7 linked regions of the Nothobranchius furzeri genome follow. The protein of the gene in region 6 interacts with the protein of the main gene of each other region in a pairwise test. Links are inferred from orthologs where the notes say so. Each region holds a gene or a part of one and is shown on either strand. Other genes may lie near its edges. The genes, in order: zbtb16a, pparg, crmp1, txndc11, hoxc4a, htt and ttc23.

Region 1 (4,095 bases), on a different chromosome or scaffold from region 6:
AAGGAAAACCATTCGTGTTTAAAGTCAACAAGTGTTGCCAATTTGTCATATTTGCAGAACCATCAGCTCAATTACCGGTTATAGAATATGTGTATTTATTTAACCATGAAAGGATCCGGTTTATTATGTAAACGGGAAAAACGGGAAGCCGCTGGAGTCTCAAATTGCAAATATCCTGCAGGGCTGGTAAACAATCTGTGCAGCGGCATTGTTCTGGAGACCAGCGCCGAGTATTGACAGTATTTTCTGAAGGGAGACGATTTGTTAGCTGTCCAACAGGCTCATCCTGCATACCAATCAACCTGACATATGTTACGTTAAAAGATGTCTTCGTTTGCTTATCTGACGGGGACGTGCAGTTAAACAAGGGAGCATTGTGGGCTTTCACTGCTGCTTGGCTCGCAGGGACCGTCAGCAGCCTTCCCAACATTAAATAGCATCTTACTCAGTATTCCCATCACAGACGGGAGCAGAGAGCAGCGGCCAGACAGGGGTGGAAGAGAAAAGCAGGATGAGGCAAAAAGCACTGCTGCACTTAAACGCTCCGCTCGGCTCTCAGCCGCTGAAATCTCAAATGAATGAACATCTCTGTGGCTGCTGGTGATTTCATTATTCACGTTAACAGGGCAACGTGTTGCTCCACCTCATTACTGGAGCGCGTCTGACCCGCGCCAGATAAACCAGGACAGGTTCAGACTGAATTAGCAGAACGTGGACGTAAAACATAGACGCCTCTGGCTGCTTCTGGTTTAGTCTGGTTTAATGGTCTGCCCCACCGGAGGACGAAAGCATGAATGCTGGTTAACCACCTCAACTGACCCACATTCTGGGTGAACTCACTGATTCAGTCAGCTTCATGAGCAATGACAGAAACTTTTCAGCAGTTTTTAGTCAAAAAAGAAACGTGCAAATGCATCCTCAGCGTTTTAAAGCTGACTGCAGTTTACATGGAAATTCTGTCATTTTTCTTGTTTCCTCGCTCTGGCGCAGGAGACCATGGACGTAATCAGGTTTATGACCGGGTCCATCTTAAAAAGTGACTGGGTCTCAGTTGGTTTGGAGAAAAAAAATGAGTATCATCAGATAAAATCATCAAGGTATCAGCCTTAGAAATCAGAATCGGTGTATTTCATCTTTAACTTTAACACTTTAGAGCAGGATTTTACAAGTGCTTAATGTCATGATGAGAGTATCATAAAATATGCAGAAAAATAAAATATATAAGTTGAATTATTGCTTGAAACATAAAAACTTGGGAGAAAAATGACTACAAACCTGTCATTTTCTACTCAGAGCTGCGAGTTTAGATTAGAAAAAGCATCAGGCTAACCAAATAAATAAAAACCACTAATGATGAGCCCACAGGTCCCCATCTAACCGAGATCAGCCCCTTCACGCCTCCAGCACCACATTATCATCAGTAATGTTTGTGTCCCTGAACGTGATCGGTGCTTGTTGCGCGCATCGGAGCAGCCCAAACTTCCCATTCAGGCACTTGTGTCTGCTCTCCATTAATAGAGAGGAGCGTCTAGACAGCGCGCGGATGTTGGGCCAGCCGCTGCAGACCCATTCTACACGAGCATTACGCAAATCAGCAGACTACATTAAGTACATTAAGCCGGTGGAGATGGTGTCCCGCGAGGACAACGAGCAAATAAAGAGACTTCAGAGAGAGAGAGAGAGAGAGAGAGAGAGAGAGAGAGAGAGAGAGAGAGAGAGAGAGAGAAGCATCGGAATCGATCTGATCACGAGCTGTCTGCCGTCGCGCGCACTGACGAGCCGCAGCCACAACAAGAATAAACAGCGTTCAATAATCCAGCGCGAGAGCCGCACGGACGGACCCCAGGCGCGGGAGCGTTGTTATGGTCTGGTGGTGGGGGGTGTGGTGGTCATAAACGTGCACGCGAGCCTGGTTCCGGTCCGATCTGCGTGCAGGTGGCAGCTCCACATCTCGGTGAGGATGTGAAGGAGTGAAAGGGGAAGAGGAGGATCAGACACATTCGATAACAAATCCATTTGAATCAGTTACCAGCGCGCGCGCGCGCGGCGCGTGCAGCTCGATTATTGGGAACTAATCAAACATGTAGTTAGCTGTCAGTCAATCCCGCTCTGACAGCGCAGTCACGCTGGTTTGGTGCAACTGTCTCGAGCCGCCGTGATGTCACACCGCGGATTAATAAGAGGGGATAGGAATGGGACGTCACGCGCGCTTTACCGCTGCCATCGGTCCGTGGAAGGGACACGCAGCGCGGCGTCACGAGCCGCCTGGCTCCCGGTGAACACAGCCAGACCTCACGTCCTCTCGCCGCTCTCCAGAATACTAACCAGACAGGAGCGCGAGGAGGGGGCTTACGTCAACCCTAGCGCCTCCGCAATAGGCTGCCGTGCGTTAATGCAAACTTTAACACCTTGCAGCGCAATCAGGTAAACACTTGTTTTCAGCCGGGACTCGCTCAGGCGCGCGCGACCCACTGCCAAGTCGCTGGTAACTTCAGCACGAAAACGCACATGAAACCGGAAGGTCAGCCGAGGACGAGCGCAACAAACGCACCCAAAACATCCATATGGTGAATGAAAGTCCGCTAAATGAAGCACACGCGCGCGCAGGAGCGAGCCCGGCACTTGTCTCCGGGAAGCGGCAGCCGCGTGTCCGGTGTCGGTACTCACCTAAGTTGCAGGTTTGGAGTCCGTGTGGCGCGCGGGGGACTGGGGCTACAGCATAGTAAGGCAGTTCGCAGTACCCGCTCTCTCAACACGCACTAACTCCTTTCTTCTCTCGCCTTAGCGAATCAACACGCCGCTGACGTCAACGCAGCCAGACGAGCAGCAGGCGGGCGGGCGGCCGCCGCGGCGCTCCAGTCCGAGCAGAGAGAAAGTGAGACACCTAGGGGACTGTCTCCGGCCAAACGGGCGTGTTACTGGAGGCCAGGGAGAGGCGAGACGCGTCCTCGCCCACAGGAGCTGGGCTGAAGCTCCACAGGGACGGAGCTGGGCTTTAGAGGACCTCAGGGGTTCAGGAGTCACACCCCAACAAGTCCTGCTCACCACCCCCAGACTGGTTCCGACACAAAACCAAGAACTATCTGATCGTTTGAATCATTTCAGAATTCTGCTTTTTTAAATGTTTGGATTTGATGTATTTTTGATTCAATCAACTCTGTCTGAGGTCCGAGTTTGGCCGTCCTTCCGTCCCTGTTCTGCCTCAGTTTTCTTTTCCCCAAAACTATTTTCAAAGAGCCAAAATAAAGTTTTGGATTATTTAAAATGTAGAAAATCCCTGCAAACCGGAGCACTCGGATATCGAAACTAAATACTTCTGATGGTTTCCTGTGAGCCATCAGACCTGACTCACTGACCTAACATCAGTGTCTAAGCTCTGTAATTAGGTGGGAAGTGTTTTATGGAAAATGGCCTGTGTTTAATCTGGCACCAGTCCCAGAACCTGAATCAGCCATTCACACATTCACAGCTGGTGATGATGCGCTACATTGTGGCTACAGCTGCCCTTGCCCAAGGACACAACAGCAGCACTCTTTGCCAGGAGCTGAGATCGATCCTGCAACACCGCCAACCCGCTCCACCTCCTGCTGCCTTCATGTCTGTATCCACTACAACCCAGATTTATTTCATTTTCAATTCAAATATTTAAATATTAACTGCAACACTTTTAGATTTAAGCTCAGGTCTGCTGTCCAAACTCAAACCGAGATTTACTAAAATGCAATTTAACAAATTAAAAAAATGACAGAAGACTAAATAAAGTGCAGGACGTGAATAAACACAACTGCTTTATGTATTTTAGCAAAAATAAACCTTTATTTTTTGCCTTTTTTACTCAATCATTTATGAACAGATGTATTTGGAAAACATGATCAAAGCTGGGGTCATTTTTATAAAACAAACTGAATGTGCTGTCAGGTTTCAGTAGCATTTCACAATAAGTGACCCAAAGACGTGCAACAATCCTGAAGAAACGTCCTAACAGCACAGAGTTGGTCGTGTTTGCACACACGAATAAAAGAGATGAAACAAGTAGGAACAACTTCCTTTTAGGGGGTCACACGCGGATCAAAGCCATCAACATCCAAATCTGTA
Region 2 (4,003 bases), on a different chromosome or scaffold from region 6:
ATGAAACCAAAATTAATTCATCATAGAGCTTATCATCAAATATAATTAAAAAAACCTAACATTCAGTCATTAGTGTGAAATCTATGTAGATACTAACTTATCAAATCTAATTTTCTTCTTGACTGATCGGTTGCATGGAGAAACTATGATGAACTGAGAGCAAAGCTGAGAGATGAGAATAGCTGCCACGGGAGCCTGGAAGTCCAAACGGAGACAGTGCAATCAAAATGTGTTTTTTCCAGGAGTGTCCATACTTGGAAAAAGAACTGTATGGAAAATAAATAATGGTTGCAATGCCATAGTGAGTGCTGGGTCATAACTGAAAGTAATTGAGTATTTTATGTTGCACATCACACACTGTACGTCACATAACTGTGGAAATATGTGCCATGAAAAGAGGCATGACTAAATAGAAGGATACTTTCAAAGCGGAACATGACAAAATAATTTTAATAATGATTCTTTTGGAGCCCAAAGCAAAATGCGTACTTAATTAATCACACATCTCTCTGTCAAAGTACAAAAGATTAACAAGTACAGAAAAGTTTTATTAGCAAACAACTTGCCAGTGTCCAAAGTTTTGTTTGGTGTCAATAAAAGTTTGCATCTGCAGCCAAAATGTTGCGGTTCGTAGACAGAAAATGATGAAATGATAGCCCTGAAGTTAATAATTACACCTAATTTAAAAATAAATTGACAACCTTAGGGTTAAACCACTTCAAACGCCAGCATTATCTGATGAAACCTAATCAGAAAAGCCTTTTAAAACACTTATTCACTGCATGAAATTAAAATGAACAAAGCAGGATTTTGGCAGTGCAGAAGCAAAAGTGGTTAATTATCTGTGGGTTCATCCAGAGCATGTCATTCTCTTTTATCTGAATGTTTATGCAAAAACAGATGTTTAGACAGTCTTCCTTCCTTTTGCGATTACATTTCGCTCTTAAAACTGTAGGTGACTGAAGTACCTTCCAAAAGGTTGTGGCAGAAAAAGTTGATATTTCTTTCTTTTACATCAATAGAAAGCTTCAAAAATGACAATAAGTGACAAGAAGTAACTTGAACTCTTTAGCACACAATTAAAATAGCTTTATGTGCAGGTGTGTTATCCACAAAGCGAGTGATCAACAACAAAGAAATAGCAACGTATCTTGAAGCACTCCTTTCGTTTACGACAACAGAACAAAGTCCGAATCTGTCTCAGTCATTCATACACACATGCACCAACAAACACATGGACGCACCTTACTCTAAGAATTATATAACCTGATAAATGAGTGATTTAGGGCATGCAGTTGCATCAACGCCTGTATCGAAGCTGCTGTTAGACTTTAAGTCATTTATGTAAAGATTACAGGATGTTTTTTTACCTGAGCTAGTATTACTGATTCAAGCTGCATGAGATTTATGACACCAGAATCCGAGGCAAAACTTTCAGGACTGCACTCAATTTCTTCCAAATGAATAGCTGATGAAAATGCTTGCATTCAAATAAATAATACTTAAAATAAACCAAGCTGCTGCTGTAATAAAAGTAATATTTATGCTTTTACCTGAAGGTGCATTTATAAATACAAAAACACGCCTTGATAATTAATCACTCAATAAAAAATGTATTATGCTTTGTCTCATTTAAAAAAGGACATAATAAACTATGATCAGCTTAGTGATAAACTCGTCCTATCGCATCTGGAATGTTTGATGGACAATTTTGCTTAAACCCAATAATAATTTGTTAACCTTTAAAATGCTATTTATTGATTTAGAGACATTTTGACAGAGTTTGACCTGCAGCAGTTTATTGATAATCAGAAGTACAGAAAACTCGATTTAAAGATATTAGTCTAAATTTTAAACAAAGTTGCTGAAGCTAAATATTTGCCTACATTAAGTGATTGTTTTGTTGTGTATCGCCAGATCACAACTCTGACTAAAATAAGAACAAAACAAGTACATTTAAAAAAGTAACACTAAAATAACGTTCCAAGAAAAAAACATAATACAGAAAATACAAATGACACCGAGCACAAATTTAGTGAGCAAAATGTCAAAAGGGAGTAAAAGGTGATGATTTACATCTGGTAATGCTAAGCATTTATTAAATATTCTGATCATAATTACTGTTTTGACTGATATCTATAACACGTTTCCATTTTGCAGCTTGTTTTCACCATTATCAGTCCCATTAAAGGATAAACCAACAGATCAGATTTATTCCCCACATGAGTTCAAAATTAATTCATCAAAACCCAAAGTGGAAAAAACAGGAGTGACTGTGTCAGTCTACATTATTATAGCTGAGTCACAACTCTTATGTAGCAGTTACTGTAGAAGAATCTACAGTGAATCAGCACATGTGACCCCCCCCCCCCCCCCCCCCCCACACACACACACACACACACACTCTAAAACACTAGAACCCAACAGCAGGCATCACCTGGTCTTACCTGAGAAGATGTGACCACTTAGATGGTGAAAATCTCTGCCTGGTGTTTGCATGTCAAGCTCACACTCGCACTGTGGCCCAGAGACACACTCTGGACCAACTCCTGACGTGCATGCCAGTTGTCAGCCCTGTGGCCGCACCCCCTCTCTATCGCCACCCCCAATCTACGCCACTGGCTACTTGTCACTCTCTAGGAAGTGTCCACCTTAAGTCGACATGTTTGAAAAAAGTAAAACTTTAGTATGAAATCAAAAAGTTAAAAGTTATCCTTATTGTTTTAAAATGACACAAAAACTGATGCAGACACTTAAACCCAGTCTTCTGAATTACTTTACTTTTTATGACGTTTGCAGTGTTTTATTACTCCTAGCAGCCACAACTCCAAGCACAATAAATAGTGAACTCAGAAGGGGGTGACTGACCTGATCAGTGTGTTGAACCGCAGAGGACAGAGAGAGTCCACGGGCTGCGTTTCCGGTGTTGGACCGCACTTTCTCGGTCGTGTTTAGCTCGCCTCCCCCCTGGAACCGGGGGCTTGGGCACCGAACAGCCGCAGCAGTGTGGTTGGGTCCGGGTCCGTTCGCTGTGGAGCGCTCAGCTCCTGCTGCTGCTACGGTGCGTGTGTGAGCCTTGCCTGGTGCGTCTCTCCCCTCCCTCCTCTCGGCTCAACCTCCAGGGATTTAAGGACACATAAAAAGGCGTCAAATTACCTTCTAAAGCTCCGATTTACTTAATCGGATCTATTTAAACTGATTTATTATGCGCAGAAAACACAGGTACTGTTACAAGTTTTTATTTATGAGAGTGGATCTTATAAGGCACCTAATGAGTGAAATAGCATCACACAAAATGAATTCTTTAATCTGGCATCAACTCGGAATTTTTCAGAAAAACTGCAAAATCTTCTAGCTAATCATAAACTAATGTTTTAGGAAACATTTGTTGTTTATTAAGTCAAATATGGCTCAGCATGCACCAAGAAACAACCTATAAGTGTAATAAAATGAATGTATTTTTTAAAGTTGATCTCACCTATCAGCACATCAAAGCTGCATGGAGCTCATAGGAAGCTGAACACATTTTAAATTGTGGTTTGTGGCTAACTAGCCACACTTTTAGCCATGGCCAGCTACTTCCTCATATTAGCATATTTAGTCAAGTTAAAGCTGCAAAGGCAAGTTTGGAAAACAAATTAGCTTAAAACATGTTTCCATGCCCCTTAACAACATTTAAACATAGTATAGCAATACATATTTTGTGGAGAATGATAAATAAATAAATAAACAACTAGTATAGAATAGACTTTTTTTGATCCCACAGTGGAGAAATTCACTTGTTACAGCACCACCAACACTTAAGAGAATAATTTGAAGAAAAATAATAACAAAGGTACATGTACAATACATAAAATATATACATAAAACAAAGTGGTTCTCTTGCATTTGTCTAAAAATCTCCGCCAATACCAATGAGCCGCCCGAGATTTTGAGAAGTCAAGTGGTCACACAGGACACTTCTTGGAAAGTCGCGCGATAGTCACAACATCACACGGGACTT
Region 3 (3,500 bases), on a different chromosome or scaffold from region 6:
TAGTGTGATGCAGAATAAAAATCTGATCAGTGAAAAGGACAAACGGAGGAAAAGTGAAAGTGGACGTTTGAAGGTAGTTTGACCTCTGCAGCGAAGGACAACACATCTGTTATGACCTCCCCTCCTCAACTCCCGCTGAACGAGGGGCCAGATTTCATGACTTGCACATGTTTAAAGCTCGATTCTGCCGAGTTAAGGCTAAAACCTCAATTTTTCATATTTTTACACAAACCAGATCTGCAGGGTGTCTTTCACATCCGTCAGGTTTATGGATGGATTTTAAAGTTTCAGATCGAGCTTTTCCTTTTGCTCTGCAGTTGAGATGTTTTGTATTTCCTGAAAAACGTTTTGCATGACTCTGAAAATGTGCAGCCTTCACTTTGAACTTAAAAAAAAAAAGATTAAAAATGTACAAAAGGAAGAGAAATGTTCAAAAAGACAAGGACTTTAGTAACAACATTTTATCAGGTAAATTAATGAAAAGTAAAACTAATCTTTATGAAAATGACAAATAATAACACTCAAAGATGGCTACAGCTCGGTCTGTTATACAGATGTGGAGCTGAACTAAGATGTGCTTTTAGCTGAAAGTCTTTCGCATCACAAGCTGTGAATAATAAAGATCAGGCATGAACTGCAGATACTGATTTCATTATTTAAAATATATGACCCAAACCATTTTAACTACCATCCTTTTTCACCTCTAGATGGTTTTACTTATCTCTGACTCATAGCAGACTTCTGATTCTGAAACAAGTCCAGATGTGTAAACGATTGTGTCGGATTAGGATTAATTAGGATGTAACTGTGTTAAGGTTAGGAGCAACACACACACACACACACACACACACACACACACACACACACACACACACACACACACACACACACACACACACACACACACACACACACACACACACACACACACACACACACACACACACCAGCAACTTCCAGCTGCACACTTTCAAAGTGCCCTCGATTCCATAAATAGCACATGGACCTAGAGTAACTCATCATCTGCTGTCTTGGCTACCAAGCGTCTCCCTCCTCCTCCTCCTCTTCCTCTTTGTCCTCCTCTCTGCTTAGCCACACTTGATCCACAACTGCAGCTTCTCATGCTGCTCTGAGGGTTTAACACCGCTGTTTTCCTCCAGCGTCCTCTGAAATGACAGAGTTATTTTCAGGTTCCTATTGAGAGATGTGAACACTTTATTACGCTGGCTCATTATTGCTATAATAAGCAATCGCTTTGCGTTAGGATGATGATCATACAGCCGAGAATAATCACTATGATCAATGAGTAAATTACAGGCCTCACACCAAAGATTATGATAAACACTCTTCTCTTGTACAGTAAGAGGTAGAATGGGTGTGTGTGTGTGTTGCTGGTGTTTTAATAATGCAGTGCATATGTATGTATTAACAGAGGCTCTAGACAGCAGCACTGCAGCTGTGTTGCACCATTCTGACACTTTCAGCTGACTGGTTTTAAACACCAAACCTCCTCATGATGTGCACATTAAATTACAGGCTCACTGAGGACACCTAGTGGCTGATTTATCAATAACAAAAACCCTTTTAACCCAGGCGTGTCCAATCCTGGTCCTCGAGGGCCGGTATCCAGCACGTTTTCGTTTTAACCTGCTTCAACACACCTGATTTCAATCAGCAGGTGATTAACAGGCTTCTGCAGAGCCTGATGAGCTGCTGCACAGGTGATTCCACCAGCTAATCAAGCGTGTTGAAGCAGAAAAACCACAAAACCTGCTGGTTACCGGCCCTCCAGGACCAGGATTGGACACCCCTGCTTTAACCAAATGATCAGCATGAAAACTTTTTTTTTTTAGTTTGGTTCCTGATTTTGCCTCCTGCTGTGGACATTTCACATTGATCATCAAATACTTGAGTCACTGTGTTTCGTGTCCACAGCGGGGACCTCCAGGTGGTGGGCAGCTCTCACTGTGCGTACAGCACCTCCCAGAAGGCGATCGGTAGAGATGACTTCACACTGATCCCAGAAGGAGTCAACGGAGTGGAGGAGAGGATGGGTTTTGTGTGGGACAAGGCTGTGGTAAGGAGGGTTCCTGACAGTGTGGCTGTGAGTTTGTAACAGAGTTAATATCGACTTCTATGACACTCAGGCCATGGGGAAGATGGATGAGAACCAGTTTGTTGCAGTCACATCAACCAACGCTGCGAAGATCTTTAACCTGTACCCACGTAAGGGACGCATTGCTGCAGGCTCCGACGCTGACATCGTCATCTGGGACCCTGACAGTGTCAAAACCATCACAGCGAAACTCCAGCAGTCGGTGAGAACTTGGGAAGAAAAAGGGAGATGGATGGAGGACAGTCAGGAAGAAGAGTGCTAACCCTAACCAATCATCCATCCATCCATCCATCCATCCATCCAACCATTTTCATCCACTTATCCGGAGTCGGGTCACGGGGGCAGCAGCCTAAGGCGAGAGGCCCAGACTTCCCTCTCCCCAGCCACTTGGGCCAGCTCCTCCAGGGTAATCCCAAGGCGTTCCCTGGCCAGGTGAGAGACATTGTCCCTCCACCGTGTCCTGGGTCTACCTTTAGGCCTCCTACTGGTTGGACGTGCCCAGAAAACCTCACCAGGGAGGCGTCCAGGAGGCATCCTGACCAGATGCCCAAGACACCTCAACTGGCTCCTCTCGATGTGGAGGAGCAGCGGGTCTACTCCGAGCCCCTCCCGAATGACCGAGCTTCTCACCCTATCTCTAAGGGAGAGCCCAGCCACTCTTCGGAGAAAAGTCATTTCGGCCGTTTGTATCCGCGATCTCATTCTTTAGGTCACTACCCAAAGCTCATGACCATAGGTGAGGGTAGGAACGTAGATCGGCCGGTAAATCGAGAGCTTCACCTTCTGACTCAGCTCTCTCTTCACCACGACAGACCGGTACAACGCCCGCATCACTGCAGATGCAGCACCAATCCACCTATCGATCTCACGCTCCAGTTTTCCCTCACTCGTGAACAAGATCCCGAGATACTTAAACTCCTCCACTTGGGGCAGGACCTCCTCCCTGACTCGGAGAAGGCATTCTACCCTTTTCTGAATCAAGACTATGGTCTCAGATTTAGAGGAGCTGATTCTCAAGCCCGACTTACTGCCGGCAATGCGGACCAAGCTCTGACACCGGTCATACAGGGACCTAACAGCCCGTATCAGAGGGCCTGGTACCCCATACTCCCGGAGTACCCCCACAGGGTCCCCTGAGGGACGCGGTCAAACGCCTTCTCCAAATCCACAAAACACATGTAGACTGGTTGGGCAAATTCCCACGCACCCTCCAGCATCCCCCTAAGGGTATAGAGCTGGTCCAGTGTTCCACGGCCAGGACGAAAACCACATTGCTCCTCCTGAATTTGAGGTTCAACAATCCGACGGACCCTCCTCTCCAGAACCTCTGAATAGACCTTACCAGGAAGGCTCAGGAGTGTGATCTCCCTGTAGTTGGAACACA
Region 4 (3,427 bases), on a different chromosome or scaffold from region 6:
TAAAACAATGACTTTGACTTTTTGTTTTCAATCAAAAAAAATAAAATAAAAAGAACAAATGATACAGATTCATCTTCTCTGCCCTGTTTTAAAGCTCTTTCTAAAACCCATTTGTGGGCTTGCTTTGAGTTTTAACCATCGACATAATATACGTTTTAACGTGGCATGAGTCATTTAGTTTTTATGCTGTTTTTTATTCCGTTTTAATTCTGTGGAGCCCTTTGGTCAGTTTGATGCTGTTGAAAGGTGTTACAAATAAATTTGACTTGTCTAAACGAAGATGGATAACGATCTGTTCAGTTTGCAGCAGTACACGACCCTGCTGCTTTAGATTAGGGATGTTACATTTATTATTTTCTACACGGGAAAACAGAATTCAGGAATGTGGTCTTCCCTGCATCTTGCAAATCCTCCAAACTTCTCATCGATGCATTACTCATGTGATGAAGCTCAATTTTGTGTTTAAGAACCACAACAAAGCACACAAAAAAAGACTGAAATACGAAAAGATTTTTTATCAGAAAAAGTGGTGCAATATTTCACATGTAAACACACCTGCAGCAGTTCAATCTTAATACCTGAATAGTTACATAGAAATATTTTAGTGACTCGAATGTTTGTAAAATCAGTGTAACAAACTCATCATTAAAACCCCTTCATAAAAAAAATCTGAAATATTTTAAGTGCTCCTAAAACAGTCAATTTACTTTTCTTTGTTCAAAAGCTCTCCTGATTCATTTAAAAGCAAAATAAGCCTTTTTTTCCATCTCCTGCAAATGATTAAATTTTTAAGAGAAAGCCTGTGCAGAGTGCTGGATAATGAAAAAGGAAAATTCACCAAAATAATCCAAGCATGAGTGTAAATGATTCCAATCATTAGTGATAAAACTGATAAAAGCATGCAGCGAACTGCTTTCAACGTTCATTATAACCAATATAAAGTTGACATGATGTGGAATTTTCAAAATAAAAGTATCTGTATGCATTTTAATCCTCAGTGAGTATATTTATTTGCTTTTGAAAGAAGCCCAAAACTTCATTTAACACAACAGAAATATTAAGAAAAAACTCATTTGTGCCCCACATTTCTAATAATTAAAGATCCTTTTTTTCACCAACATTTTAGTTAAGTACGCTCACTGTAGACACCTTCACTAAAAAAATATGTTTCCAAAATTCAAACAAATCTGAGAACAGACTTATTTTGTGGCACGACTGTCGTAGTGTTGATTTGATGCACTTAGGTTTCTAATAATGCGGGGGGGGGGGGTGCAGCATCAGAACAGAAAAGTGCAGATAGGTTTGAATTTCCAAAACTAGCATGCTTCCATGAGCGCTTCCAAAGCACTTTGTAGGATTTTTCCCCCCGTGACATTGATCAGGTCCTCACCCCGCCCAAACAGAAATCTGCTCTTTTTTATTTGGGTTTTACTCGTCCAATCACAGCTTTTTCTCCTCCCCCCTCTTTCCTTCACTTCCAGGCTTTGTTTCTGTTCCCTTCATGAGGTCATTTGGCCTTTTTTCTGTTCTGTCTGTTTTGTTTCCTCCTTAGTCTGCTCCGTAGCCTGTGTCCTGTCCTTCAGCGCCTTCAGAAGGATCCTGAGTAGTGTGTTCTCATTCAGCAGGGTTTCAGATGTGTCCACCAGCTCCTCCAGCCGCCTCAAAGCTTCCGCCAGCTGCTGGCTTTTCTCCTGGAGCTGCTTCTCCAAGCTTTCCTCAATGCTGCGTTTGTCAAATTTCAGTTGTCGGTAATCGCGCCAAAGCTGCGCCAGCTGTTGGGAGAGACGCTCGCGGGCGAGATGTAGAGTTTGAACTTCTCGTTGGAGAGCCAGAAATTCTGCGTGGAGGACGGCACTGGCTCCTTTCCTCTGTGCCTCATCTGGTTTGTCTTCATGACGTAAAGAGTCAGAATGCTTCAGGATGAAGCGAAGGAGATTGGGTAATGTGACCGGAAGCTCTTCTGGAAACTTCACACTAAGGTGTTTTCTAAAAGAGAAGCAAGAATGACAAACGCACAGTCTAAAGTAAGAAATAGGAGTGAAGTAGCATTTTTTATAAAGCAACATTTTATTTTTCTATCCGTTTCTTGGTGAGAGGAATGTTCTTGTTTTCCTCCCTTCAAGCAGGAAAAAGCGTCTAATGTGGAAAAAGAGTAACAATAGATTTACTGTAGTGACAGAAAAAAAGGTCTACGCTATTAAAAACAGAGAAACATACCGACAGTACAAATGATGCTATAAATAAAAAAATTACTATTCTATCACGATTTTATTTTACATATTAGGAGGCGTCACACTGGTTCTTACCTGTATCTGGGAAACAGAAGGATGGAGGGAACATGATCCACCATGAACTCCCAGGGAAGGTCGTTGCGTGCCACGTTCACCCTGAACAGAGTCGTGTGGACACATTGACATGTTTGTTTCTGTGATTGGCAGCTTTTATGGAAATTTTATATTTCATTACTTTAGTCCTATTAACAATGTCCTGAAAGCATTCTCACACACACACACACACACACACACACACACCCACACTCACACTCTCTCACACATATGATCCACTCCCATTCCTTTCTTATCTTTTTGTATAAATTAACTCTGTGACCAGATGTTCGGGGCATTTGCCCTGTGCACTTGCCACAAATCATGATTTGGTTGTATGTCTGCCTTATTGTCTCTTGTCCCTCTCTCTAGCTGCAGGAAATGGGTTTATTGATAAACATATTGATAAAATCCCTAACAGCAGCGATCAGACTACTGAGTCCATCAGAACCAGACTGCACCTGGCCACGGTGATGGTGCGGTTTCCCTGCAGTAATCTGGCCAGCCGGATGATGACGTGGTTCAAAACGGAGCAGAACCCACACCACTGGGTATAGTAGAACAGCAACACATCCTAAAAACACACATGACATCATCTTTATTATTTAAGAGTGTAATCTGACTTCTGTATCTAGAACCCTGAGACCAGCGTATTCCCTCACCTTTTGATGGTCCATGATGGAGGGCAGGAAGGAGGAAGTGGTCAACTCTGTGATGAAGAGATGTGAGGGAGAGTGCTGGGGCTCGTCTGGATGCTTGGCTTCATCTCCACCTTGCCTCCTGTCTTCCACCCCTACCAAATGTCTCTGCAGGAGGCTGAACGGAGCGCTGAAGTTCCTAATGAAGGCCTCTTTAAGGAGACACATCATAAACAGATATCAGCTGATGCTTGTGCTCGAATAAAACCAAACCAACATGAACTGATCACGTTACGACTGTTCTAGTGGTATTTAAACTGGTCCAGTCAATTGTTATTTATTTGATCATGATGAAATCCTCCACGATAACAACAATGATCTTTACTGATGGGTTGGGTCTGGATGAGTCATTCTGTCTAAAACATTTAAACCAAGAGCCTTTTGTTTGAAGCCAAACATGTGGTT
Region 5 (4,175 bases), on a different chromosome or scaffold from region 6:
GGGGCTGATAAAGGAAGGCAGAGGAAGAGAGGAGCGGGAGGAGTGCAGGGAACATAAACACACAAGTTGCCTACCAGTGCTGACGTGAATTTTCTTCATCCATGGGTACACCACAGGCTGTTTGGAGGAGGCTGTGCTGTTTGGATGCTCCGGGGTAGCTTGGTTGCAGGCGGAGGTTGCAGCCGGTGGGGTGGCGGGGGACATGGACAACTGTGGGGTTTCACATGATGCAGGCTGCCCTTTTCCTGTCAGCAGGTGCGCAGAATGGGGTATTCCATGTCCCCTTGGCGTGTCGGGTTCAGGGATGCTTGCACAGTTAAACTGGCGGTCTTGGTAGCTCGCCCGCGGAGGATATAACTCCTGGTGGTGATGCTGGTAGCCAGAGTCCCTTGCGCGGCTGTAATATTCTGGACTATGCTCTGGGATGTAGTTATTTTGCGAATATTCCTCGCACGGAGGAAATTTCGGATCAATGTAGTTAGACTCCATCAAATACGAGCTCATGATCATTAATTTCTGGAGTGGAAAATAATTTTTCTAGCTTTGTCGTTTTTCTGCTCCATAAAGCCCTCCTACTTGCGAGCAGCCCTGTAAAGTTACTTTAACCACGTGACCCAGTAGCCCAATAGCAGAGGAAGAGGTAGTTCCCGGATACGGAACCAGAGGTATTTAGCATACCTACAGTCGCCATTGTGGGCACAAAGCTCTCTCTCTCCTCCTCTCCGCTTAGGTCTCTCTCTCCCTCCTTCTCCCTTACCTTCCCCCCTCTTCTCCTTTCTCCCCCTTTCTGGTTTTGTTACCAAGGCAATTGATCTTGGGGACAAAACTAGTAGCTGCTGACCAAGGAAAAAATAAAACAGGCAAAATGTGCAGCTCCCAATTATTCAAAGGGACAATGGTTCGCCAAGGATAAAGCACAACAAAAGAGAAACAATCATTTTGTTGGTTTGCACACCTTCTGCAAAGGTTATCTGCAAATTAATGAATGCAGAGTCTTTATCAACGTTGCTTCAGCTGGGAAAAAGATCACAATCCGGTAGGAATTAGAGCTGCTTGCAGAGTTCCCCTCTTTAGTCACATGATATTTAACTGGAAGAGGTTCTATAGAGTCACTGGACAGGTGAGGTGGCTGAAAGGTGTGACTAGATTTTCAAAATAGGTTTAATCATTTAAGGTGGACAGGCTAAATGTGCCAATTTAGCTGCAAGGAGTTTAAATGATCTCACATCTTCTATTAAGGCTCTTACTTAAAACTATGTGTGTTTAAAATTCTAATTTAGTCAGAAGTCAAATGTATTTACATCACGTTGCTTCATCAAATGATGTTTTGAATGCTCAGATCTACAGTCAACAACTTGATACATAAGAAAGGGAAATAAAATGCTAATCACTGAGCAGTTGGGCTTTAAAGCACACATGAAACACACAAGTATAAACATCATGTAAACTCACTTCTGCTTTTGAAAACATGACTCCTTAACAGAAAAGTGTCTGCATTTGTTAAATACAAAATCATTGAATACTGTATTTCTGCAGCACTATTGAAATAAATAAATAAATAAATAAATAAATAAATAAATAAATAAATAAATAAATAAATCTGTCTCAATACAACCAATCGTGTCTTTTTACCAAGAGTCCAAAACTAATATTGTGAATAATAGGGAGGAACGGAATTGCTGACTTAACCAGTTAATGATAAAAATCACAGTTTAGGGCAAAAAGTTGCATTAATGAACATTCTATTTTTTTTATTGACCAGATTTATTCTTTTCCCAGATTATGATGTCCAACTCAACCTAAAACACACATTTCTCCTATTTCTAAACACTAAACAGACTCTTTTCCTACATTCAAATGTAAAATGATGTGAGCTCAATAGACCACTACACAGTTAAATATTTTCGTGTGTGGTGTTAAATAGAGATAATGTATTGATGAAAAATACAGAAAATGCCTTAAGATAACACCAGATGATCGTGTGACATGTAAGTAAACACTCGGAAACAGCTATTTGAAGCATCTAAATATTTGGAACTACTTGGTGATATTTCATCGCAGCTGCCTGTTAGGGAAGCAGCCTTCAGATGTTAAGGCTAATCCTGACCCTGTAAACTGATGCTGCCTGGCTGTGTAAACCTGTCATGGGCTATGGCTTCCCATTATTATCTCAAAGGTATTCTCTCCTAATCTGATTCAATAATAATAATAATAATAATAATAATAATAATAATAATAATAAAGTTTTACATTTGTACTGAAGTGGGATATGAGTCAGTGTTTTGGTCAGCAGAACCACACAAGCCAGGGGATCTATTTCCAAAGCCATAATTACATAATAAGTTTAAAACGATATGAAAGTGCATATCATATTTCTGGCTGTACTGTTTGTAAAGAATGCTCACGACATTTCTATTACCCCTACAGAGGATGTTAGAGGCGTTTTATAGAGCAATAAAAGCCGTAAATCAGTCACTTTTAAATGACCCCTGGTTTCTAACGTGTTTTACAGGCTCTGACACAGTAGTAGCCGCACTCTGCGCACATGGCTCCGCTCTCTGTGGCCTAAACCCACACAATCCACGGCAGCGTGGATTATGAATACACTGTGACCGTGTTATTGCACTGCTACTGCCTGGGTGTATCCTGATGCTTGTTCATGCAAAGGCAGAAAGGAGGGAGGAGAAAGAAGAGCAGATGCAGAACAATCCATTGGCGTGGTATTTCAGTTGCCCATGTATTCCTGTAGAGACGTATTTGCGATTGTTGTTACTGCACGCAAATTCGGTTCTACAGGGTACATATAGACAACTACTGACGCTGCAGAGGTTGATCTGTCCGGGGGAAAACATGGAGGCAAGCAGGTTATCACATCTGACATCAGTGCATAACAAATTTCATGGCTGCAGTAGAGCAGAAACGCTCCAAAGCGCGTGCGTAAAAGCGAGACGAGGACATAAACAAATAGCTGCATGTTTGTTCTGCGGGTAAATATTTTCCCTAAATATATCAACGCACACACACTTGTGCACACACGCACACGCACACACACACACACACACACACACACACACACACGCACACGCACACACACACACACACACACACACACACACACACACACACACACACACACACACAGACAGACACACACACACACACACACACACACACACACACACACACACATACACACACACACACACAGTGTTTTCTTCTCAGCATTCTGCCTTTGCCTTTGAGGTCGCTCCTATATGAATATTCAGCCACAAACACGGAGCAGATACAAAAGGACGGCGTGACAGCACAGATGAAAAATAAGTTTCTATTGTTCCCAACCATTTCTTCTGCTCGCCATTACCATACTGACCGCTCGGTAACCTTTCTTCCTGACACTCTGGAAGCTAATGAGAAAAGCCTCGGATGAAAAATGCAATATTGGACATGTGACCTGCTTCGAGGTTATTAAAAACAGCAAACATGCTCAGATTGTGAATCAATGGAATTGATTACAGTGCAGATGCACATGGGATTTTAAACACTGACAGGGGAAAAGCTTCATCTACATATTCCACCATGCCTATTCGTCCTGTGATAAATATTTGATAGAATCGCTCTAAAAACACGTAAGAAAGGAAATAAAAATGGACATTAGAGCAAAAGAAAGAAATAAGAACAATAAAATGATAAAAACGGAAGTTTTTGGTTCTCGTGTTGCATTTAAATCTATGATGTTTGTTGTGTAGCCAGCCAACACACACACACACACACACACACACACATACACACACACACACACACACACACACACACACACGCCATGTGCTCAGGCGAACGCATTTTAATATTAGTTAGACAGCCTGACCCGCGTTTCACCCCTTGCGTTTGACTGGTTCCAATAGTTCACTGCCAAGGATTATTGATGGAGTGACAGCAATGAATTCTTTCTGCCCACAAATGGCTTTCAGATCATGCACCTAGTTCAATAACTAGTTATAATGTAAAAGTACAAAAAATGAGAGCCTGAGGCAGACTAATTTGATGTTTCATTTGTTCATTTGAGAAATTGTTAAGTTCTCTTCCACACCCCACATCCCCTTCTCACCCCAATTTCAGTTCAAAACAACAGTTGTACAATCATGTTCACACACTTACATTACAAACAAAATTCATCT
Region 6 (3,500 bases):
ACGTGTTAGGAGATCGTTTTGGGCCGCTGCTGTAAAAAAAGTGAGGTGCGAACCGGAAAAGCCTCTGCCGATCACAATTCAACAACGGATCATGAAAGAACGGATAACGCTCGAAACACGCGCATTCTTCCTGATGTAAGAGGTGAGTCTCCGCTTTGTTTTGGTAGTTTTGGCATCGACATCATGCTAGCGCGCGTTCTGTGACTCTTAAAAAAAAACCAGTAAAAACGGTGAGAAACGCTGGCAGTGAATGAGTTCATGAGGGACGACTGTTTGTGAAAGTTTGTTACATTTTGAATTCTGACTAAGATTCAACTGTTTTATCACACCCGTCGGGCTAATAAACACAGTTAGCGTGGAAATGTGGAAGTTAGAAAAATAAAAGCTGAAAAAGTGGAATTTGGGAATAAATAGAGGGTGTGATCAGGTCCTGGAGCAATAATGATGTTACTTGTTACGGCGTCCGGTTCATCGCCACACCAGAACGCTCAGAAACATCGTGATAAATGTTTTGGACCATCTCGCCCACAGCCGTAAACCCGTCTCATTAGCGAATCACCACTGTGTGCTACTGGCGGCCCGACCCCAGCCGGTTTACCTCAGCAGCCGTGCAGGTGAACGTGGTGATGAGCTGCTCCTTATCGGGGGGGATCTGCAACGATGGCGGCAGCTGGCCGACGCCCAGCAGGTACTGGGACAACGCTCGGCAGAGCGACAGAACCTTGGGATAAAAACTTGGATCATCTGGAAACAAAAGGATAAAAAAGGAAATTCCCGTTTCTTCTTTCCTTCATTCGTCTTGAGTCTTATTGCTCCGCCTCCTCACTCTCACCGTACACGCCACCCAGATGGTTCCAGTAAGGCTGCGGTTCCGGCGGTGGCAGGAAAGGCTGGTGTGGAACAGGAAGTGACCCCGTGACCTCTGCTAGTTGCTCAAGGGTCACCTGCAAGGCCGTGTCCAACAGGAGTGACCCCTGACCCCGCGTTAACCTCTGCAAGCCCACGCTCAGGCTCGGACACAACAGGCTCGGGTTGAAATCCTGCGTTCAGTAAGAATCATTACAAACAAAACTAAGCACCAGGAAGTGTTCCGATCCGCCCGTTTCCACGTCACCTTGCAGCTCATGGTGCTCAGGAGGTCCGGAGGAGGTAGTTTGGTCAGAAGTTCGGTCGTCTCCAAAAGACAAACGTCTCCGCGGAGACAGCACTGGGACTTCACAAGGGCCACGTACCATTCCTAAATAAAATCACAACAGCAGCCCAGTTTGACTGTTCTCATTCCAAAGTGAAAAATACAAAGCTGCAGTTTTCCTCTTTTCCCAGGATCACGGTTCCCTGGATGCTCCACAACTCATTCTGCAGATTTGTTGCTCCGTCCAGAATCTGAATCCTCACCTTGTCAGCCACGATCTTTTCCGGGGCGGGGGGTGGCTCCCCGTCTAAGGGGTGTGGTGTAACTGGAGGGGCGGGGCTAGCGGTGTCGGTCACAGTGGCTCTGAACCTGTCCAGCAGGGAGTAGAACCTCTGATGCCTGGCGGAGACGGGCAGAAGACAACATATTCTGTCATTTTTGAGTTTGAGCACAAAAATAATCAGCAGAGACGCTCTGATCCAGAACCGACGTTCTGGGAGGATACCTCTGGGCCAAACCGCTGGTCTGGAGATATTCCTGGATTCTTTCCAGCTCCTCCACAGGAAGCTGGGCGACGCTGTTCTAAAGGATCAACGCTGACTTTCAGTTTCACTGGTGGGATGCATTCCAGACCACTAGCACAATCCATCAGACAACCTGGTGAGCCTTACCTGCAGCGTCTCCGCCAGCAGCATCTCGACTCGGCGACACGCCAGCGTGTCGACCATGCGAGCTAGAACCCTGAAGGGAGTCCTGAGCAGCTTGTCCACATAGAGCATGAGCAGAGATCCGGACTGACTCAGGTGGATGCCTTCCAGACACTGCAGCGTCTTCTTTAACATGGTGGGCTGCACACACACACACATCAGTGAAGGACTCTGGGACGACAGGGAGGTAAGGAGTTAAAAGTCGCCATACCGTGGCGAGGTTGTCGCAGCGGGACTGGATGGCCTGGATGAAGAGGCCGCTGGCGGCTGAGTTTCGGTGAACAGCGCTGATGAAATCCTGGACAGGGGGCTCGTGGGAAAGGCTGATGAGGTCACGGACGTGGTTGACAATCAGCCAGGTCAGATGCTCCGAGTCGTGGAGGTTCTGACACTAAAAGTAAAAGACTTCATGTTAAAGTTGCTTCATCTTCATCCTGGCGGGAAAATCGAATCTCCTCCACACGTGTAAGTCTCACCACGTAATCACAGAAGAGAATTAAGGCTCCTCTGCGTACGATCTCCCGGTTGACCATGGCTAACTGGGACTCTGGGTTTTCTTCTTCCTCTTCCCCTGAGGAGTGAGGACTCAGCAGCTTTGTGGAGGACAGGCTGTGTCCCCTGGCAGGAAGTAGAAGACAAAAGCAGCCATTTTTAAAACATTAATAAGAAACACCAGGGGTGTTTCTCAATGTCAAGGCGCCTGGCCTTGCGAGGCGATGTCTCGCGAGGCCAGGCGCCTTGCTTACGAGGACACGGTCCTTCCTTGCAGGGTATATACAGCAATCCTTAAGTAAAATTTACTACTTTTTAATACTTTTTTTTACTACCTTCAGAATTTTTTTAAAACCATCACAACACTAAATTGCAAGTGTTAATCAGCGACCTATTTACACATATTTTAACATATATAACATACAAAAAGCATAGACTTAGAGACTCACTGATGTTGACAACGTATTGCGCATATTTATTTTACTTAGAAAATATGCCAGGCACTTCTTTTCAGCGGTTCAGACAGTTGACCACGGGGCCTGAAATGATGCAGAACGACCACTGAATATGACGTCATCATAATGTGACCGGATATGCTAAAGCAGGGCTGCTCAATTATGGCAAAAACAATAATCACGATTATTGTGACTGAAATTGAGATCTCGATTATTTAAGACGATTTTTCAATTTATGTAGATTTTTTAAATTTATTTTTATTCAGTCATAAAACTGCTCAGGGCACAATCAGGGCAAAAATAAACAAGAAACAAGATGATCACTAAAAGAACTCCTGATTCCCAGTATAAAAAGACCAATATACTTATAGCTCATAGTTTATGACCCAAGGGCTATAGACCTTGGTTTAACTCATTTAAGTCTAACCAGTACAGACCCAAATACCAATATCTTGCAAATACTGACAGCAAGAATTATACAGTGGCATTTATAACAAATAAATGCAAATAAATTAATGTTCACAAAATGTTGCATAACATTTATTTAGTCATGTCAAGGTGCTGTAGGAGAATACACCAGCACAGTGTCCTCAGAGAGATTAGTTATTAGTTATCAGCGTGAGGAACTTATTTCTACCTTATTTATAAACTATTTATTTACAAGTCCATCAGTTAATGTAATAATTGTCCCAACCACAGCTGCACCCCCCACCG
Region 7 (3,500 bases), on a different chromosome or scaffold from region 6:
ACAATCGCGAGCATAAAAATTCAAAACTCTGTTAAGTCCCTTTGAGGCATGAAAAAAACCATTTTAAGCTAATTTCTTTTCCAAATTTGCTATAGCCACTGTAACAATGTTGACTGAACAGTTTCAACTGAGCTTCTAATAGTGGCATGAAAATATTTGAGGGTAAATCTTAGAATTTAACTTAGATTAATGGATTTTGCGTCAACGTTTCTTTTGTTTTGCCATTTAGATTCTGCATATAGCAACAAAAGGTTTGGTTTATAAACTTAGGAAGATATCTGTGTAAACCCTTAAATCTGTCAATTATGATAAATAATTTACTTTAATAAGAACAGAACTGTATAACTTTTCCTTTTGGCTGAATGAGATATTTTCATTGTACTATTTTTAAGTGATATAATATGCAATCGTAAAGACTTTTAAAACCTTTATCCACAAATCAGAAGAAGAAAATATCTTTTCTACAGCACCTCTCAAGATAAAAATCACAAGGCGCTTCACAAAAACAATAAATGTAAAATATAAAAAATAATTTAGAAAATCATTAAAAATATATTTATAATGAGCAAAAAATGGACATTTGTGATTAAAAAATGTAAAGAAAGAGAGGGAGTGAATAGGAAAGAGGGAAATCAGTGGATCCTGAGGGTGGAATAGGTGGGGAGAGCAGAACAAGGAGAGGGCGATGAAGGTCACACCAAAACCAGCTTGAACAGGTGACTTTTCAGCTGCTTTTTAAATCAGCAGCTTTTGGGCCATTTAAACATCTGCCTGTCACTCCTAAACTCTGAATAATTAATGTGCACAATGAGAAAAGGAAGCTATTAGGGGATTGCAACGCATTTTCAGATTGCTCTTTCCTTCATTTGTAATTTAAGTAAGAAATGGTATTTTTTAGAAACAGTGAAAGTAATTACATAAGCACTGGAAATAATTAATAGAGGACTGTAGTCAGTGTTTGAGAAGCTGATTATTAAAAATAATAATTCTCTTCATAATAATACGTCAATGTGACCTTTGGACAATATTTAATTACTTTAAGGGAGTGAATTACTTGTTTATTCACATTGGATAACAGCAGTGACGTGCGGTGAGGTTCATGGCTGGGGAGGCACTGACTGCTTTGGAATAAATGATCCTGAAATAGAAGCTTGTGTTTTATTTTTGACTTTGAATTAAATGTTTTGTTGGTTTGATTTAGCGCTGCATACCCTTGATACAGGAAGTTGGAGCATGCATTATGCCTGAATCAGTTAATGCGTGTGAGGCAGCTCCGTGAGAGCAGAGGCAGGCTCGTCTGTCTCCCCAGAGATTCAGCAATTTTTACCATGAAACTGATGAAATCATACAGAAAACTAATGTATAAACCAGTCAGTGGATACACTGACTTTATTTTAAATCATTATTAGAATTTTACTTGTCACACTGACAAGGGAGGCAGTGCCTCCCCTGCCTCCTCTGACCGCACGTCACTGGATAACAGCAACACAACTCTGCCACTGACTTGGAACATGGATGTTTTATCTCCACAGATAACACAAGCCCAGAGGATTTCTTCTGTGAACTAAAGTGGCTAAAGCTAACGGTTAGCTTAAACTAGCCGAGACGTTCTCTGCTGTTTCCTGGACGCTAAACCAACAACTGATTTCCCATGAGTTGAATGTTAAGTCACGGTGTGATGTAGACCTGTGAGGATTTTTAATCCTAGAGTTTCACCTTCTGTTTTCTATCAGAAGCTAAGGCAGAGATGGGTGTAAGAGACTATTTTCATGTTCAGCATGCATGAAAATCTCAGAGTGACCAATAATAATCCAAAACAACATTTAAAAATGTTTTTTCAGTGTTCCACACCTTTGAAATCTGCCCAAATTTAGTCTATTGAATTCAGAGGTAGCCATTCTTTTAGTTGGAACCATATTTGTGGTAATACATTTTCTTCTTCACCTGCATGCACAAGCTGTTGTGTTTTTGTCCCTTCTGTTTCATTTTCCTGTAGAAAATGTAGCAAATGCACGTCAGCCATCGTCTGGAAACATTTACAATAGAGCACAGTGTGGCTTGCTTGGCAGCACATCTACAAATCCTTAATCATATTAAATTCCTGTCTTTTGGACTCTGCATTAAATTGCCTGTCTGCCAAGGTGCAGAGGCTGCAGACATTAACCTGGCAAAAATAAGAAAAAGTGTCCTAAAATGGTCTGAAATGCCAGCCCAAAAACCATTCATGGGTGGGGAACTCCTTCTGTCCATCAAAGCATATTAATATAAACTTAGACTCATGGGAATCTAAACTTTTGTATTGTTTACGTAACCTGTTGCTTTAAAGTGACTGAGCCACAAATACTTAAAGTAAATGTCTAAAAAAAGGATCTTAGATTATTTTTGAGTCTGGATTCTAAATCAAACCTAAATCAAACATGTGACCTGTTTTAAAATACAATACAGTGCAGAAGCTGAGTTCTTTCAATATTTTCTGTTCAGATTGTTCAGCGGTGACCATTTTGCCCTCTGAGGAAGGCCAACCCATTTCTTGGAGAGCTGGATTAAATATAGTCCATTTGAAGCTGTTAGCACAGCAGCCTTTTTCAGCCATCCAGGATAGCACAAACAAAAATCTGTGTTTTTATAGAGTGTCACATCTGCTTAGATGATTTCTCTTTACCCTCCAAAAGCATTCCCTCATTTAGACATCCTTGAGTAATATCCTTATGAGTGGATTCAATCAAAGTTTGTTACAGTTGTACCGTGTTGAGTGTTAACTGCAGCCATGGGCCAACTCTTTCCTCAGCTTGGCTGGAGATTTACTGCAGTTTTATGAAACCAATTCACAATGACGTGATAACTGGCATCTCTTCCTGGGCTATATTGTAAACTAAACAAAATGTGGCGAAATGTAAAATGATATTACTGCTGTGCTGTTTTTTTTAATAATTATTATGTGGAGGTGAATAAGGATAGACATGTTCTGCTGTCATTTAATTATATTTTCTCTTATGTATACTGTCCCTTTTGTCTTTTTAAATGTCCCATATGTCCTATAGTGTCTATAAGAGACAGGGCCGACCAGAGGAGGCATTGAATCAGTGTGAAAAGTCTCTGCGGCTGCTGAAGGAGTGCAATAAGCCAGAAAAGACTTCTGCTGTTTATAAGGACATGGCCGCCATTGAACAGGACAGAGGTCAGGTGGATCAAACCATAGAGCATCTCTCCAAGGTGAGTAGCAACACACACTCTTGTACTCTTATTTAGTTGATCTGTCTTGTTGGACATGCGTGTTTCTGACAGGCTCATGCCATTGCTGTGAGTCATAGTCCAGAGGGTCTAGAGGGGGCTCAGATCTCCCACTGCCTGGCCATGATCCTTTCTTCTGCAGCAGAGCCTCATCACAATGGTGAGTTTATTCACTGACAGAGGCAAGGTTACAGTGATTCACACAGGGGGCTAATTAGGATCTAGATGTTGCATTAAGTTCTTTAAGACAGCGGTATAGGAGTCAGGCA

What was found.
Region 1: the proteins of htt (region 6) and zbtb16a interact in binary tests that used the Homo sapiens proteins (3 or more experiments, as listed by UniProt). The link is inferred for Nothobranchius furzeri from reciprocal best matches to the Homo sapiens genes HTT and ZBTB16.
Region 2: the proteins of htt (region 6) and pparg interact in binary tests that used the Homo sapiens proteins (3 or more experiments, as listed by UniProt). The link is inferred for Nothobranchius furzeri from reciprocal best matches to the Homo sapiens genes HTT and PPARG.
Region 3: the proteins of htt (region 6) and crmp1 interact in binary tests that used the Homo sapiens proteins (3 or more experiments, as listed by UniProt). The link is inferred for Nothobranchius furzeri from reciprocal best matches to the Homo sapiens genes HTT and CRMP1.
Region 4: the proteins of htt (region 6) and txndc11 interact in binary tests that used the Homo sapiens proteins (3 or more experiments, as listed by UniProt). The link is inferred for Nothobranchius furzeri from reciprocal best matches to the Homo sapiens genes HTT and TXNDC11.
Region 5: the proteins of htt (region 6) and hoxc4a interact in binary tests that used the Homo sapiens proteins (3 or more experiments, as listed by UniProt). The link is inferred for Nothobranchius furzeri from reciprocal best matches to the Homo sapiens genes HTT and HOXC4.
Region 7: the proteins of htt (region 6) and ttc23 interact in binary tests that used the Homo sapiens proteins (3 or more experiments, as listed by UniProt). The link is inferred for Nothobranchius furzeri from reciprocal best matches to the Homo sapiens genes HTT and TTC23.

The regions. Positions count from the first base shown.
Region 1 is NC_091750.1:30,173,795-30,177,889, reverse strand, and holds the start of zbtb16a (zinc finger and BTB domain-containing protein 16-A), read right to left. Parts: upstream 2,801-4,095; 5' UTR 2,668-2,800; intron 1-2,667. UniProt on the Homo sapiens protein: Acts as a transcriptional repressor. Transcriptional repression may be mediated through recruitment of histone deacetylases to target promoters. May play a role in myeloid maturation and in the development and/or maintenance of other differentiated tissues.
Region 2 is NC_091743.1:63,419,906-63,423,908, reverse strand, and holds the start of pparg (peroxisome proliferator-activated receptor gamma), read right to left. Parts: upstream 2,801-4,003; 5' UTR 2,500-2,800; coding exon 2,448-2,499; intron 1-2,447. UniProt on the Homo sapiens protein: Nuclear receptor that binds peroxisome proliferators such as hypolipidemic drugs and fatty acids.
Region 3 is NC_091747.1:78,390,003-78,393,502, reverse strand, and holds part of crmp1 (dihydropyrimidinase-related protein 1), read left to right. Parts: intron 1-1,935; coding exon 1,936-2,077; intron 2,078-2,147; coding exon 2,148-2,318; intron 2,319-3,500.
Region 4 is NC_091744.1:14,534,559-14,537,985, forward strand, and holds the end of txndc11 (thioredoxin domain-containing protein 11), read right to left. Parts: intron 3,175-3,427; coding exon 2,987-3,174; intron 2,899-2,986; coding exon 2,786-2,898; intron 2,388-2,785; coding exon 2,307-2,387; intron 1,987-2,306; coding exon 1,500-1,986; 3' UTR 501-1,499; downstream 1-500. UniProt on the Homo sapiens protein: May act as a redox regulator involved in DUOX proteins folding. The interaction with DUOX1 and DUOX2 suggest that it belongs to a multiprotein complex constituting the thyroid H(2)O(2) generating system.
Region 5 is NC_091755.1:25,844,131-25,848,305, forward strand, and holds the start of hoxc4a (homeobox protein Hox-C4a), read right to left. Parts: upstream 2,801-4,175; 5' UTR 511-2,800; coding exon 75-510; intron 1-74. UniProt on the Homo sapiens protein: Sequence-specific transcription factor which is part of a developmental regulatory system that provides cells with specific positional identities on the anterior-posterior axis.
Region 6 is NC_091746.1:25,540,601-25,544,100, reverse strand, and holds part of htt (huntingtin), read right to left. Parts: intron 2,458-3,500; coding exon 2,316-2,457; intron 2,231-2,315; coding exon 2,051-2,230; intron 1,981-2,050; coding exon 1,804-1,980; intron 1,715-1,803; coding exon 1,638-1,714; intron 1,532-1,637; coding exon 1,396-1,531; intron 1,238-1,395; coding exon 1,115-1,237; intron 1,041-1,114; coding exon 833-1,040; intron 745-832; coding exon 599-744; intron 1-598.
Region 7 is NC_091744.1:70,192,242-70,195,741, forward strand, and holds part of ttc23 (tetratricopeptide repeat protein 23), read left to right. Parts: intron 1-3,041; coding exon 3,042-3,213; intron 3,214-3,285; coding exon 3,286-3,391; intron 3,392-3,500. UniProt on the Homo sapiens protein: Participates positively in the ciliary Hedgehog (Hh) signaling.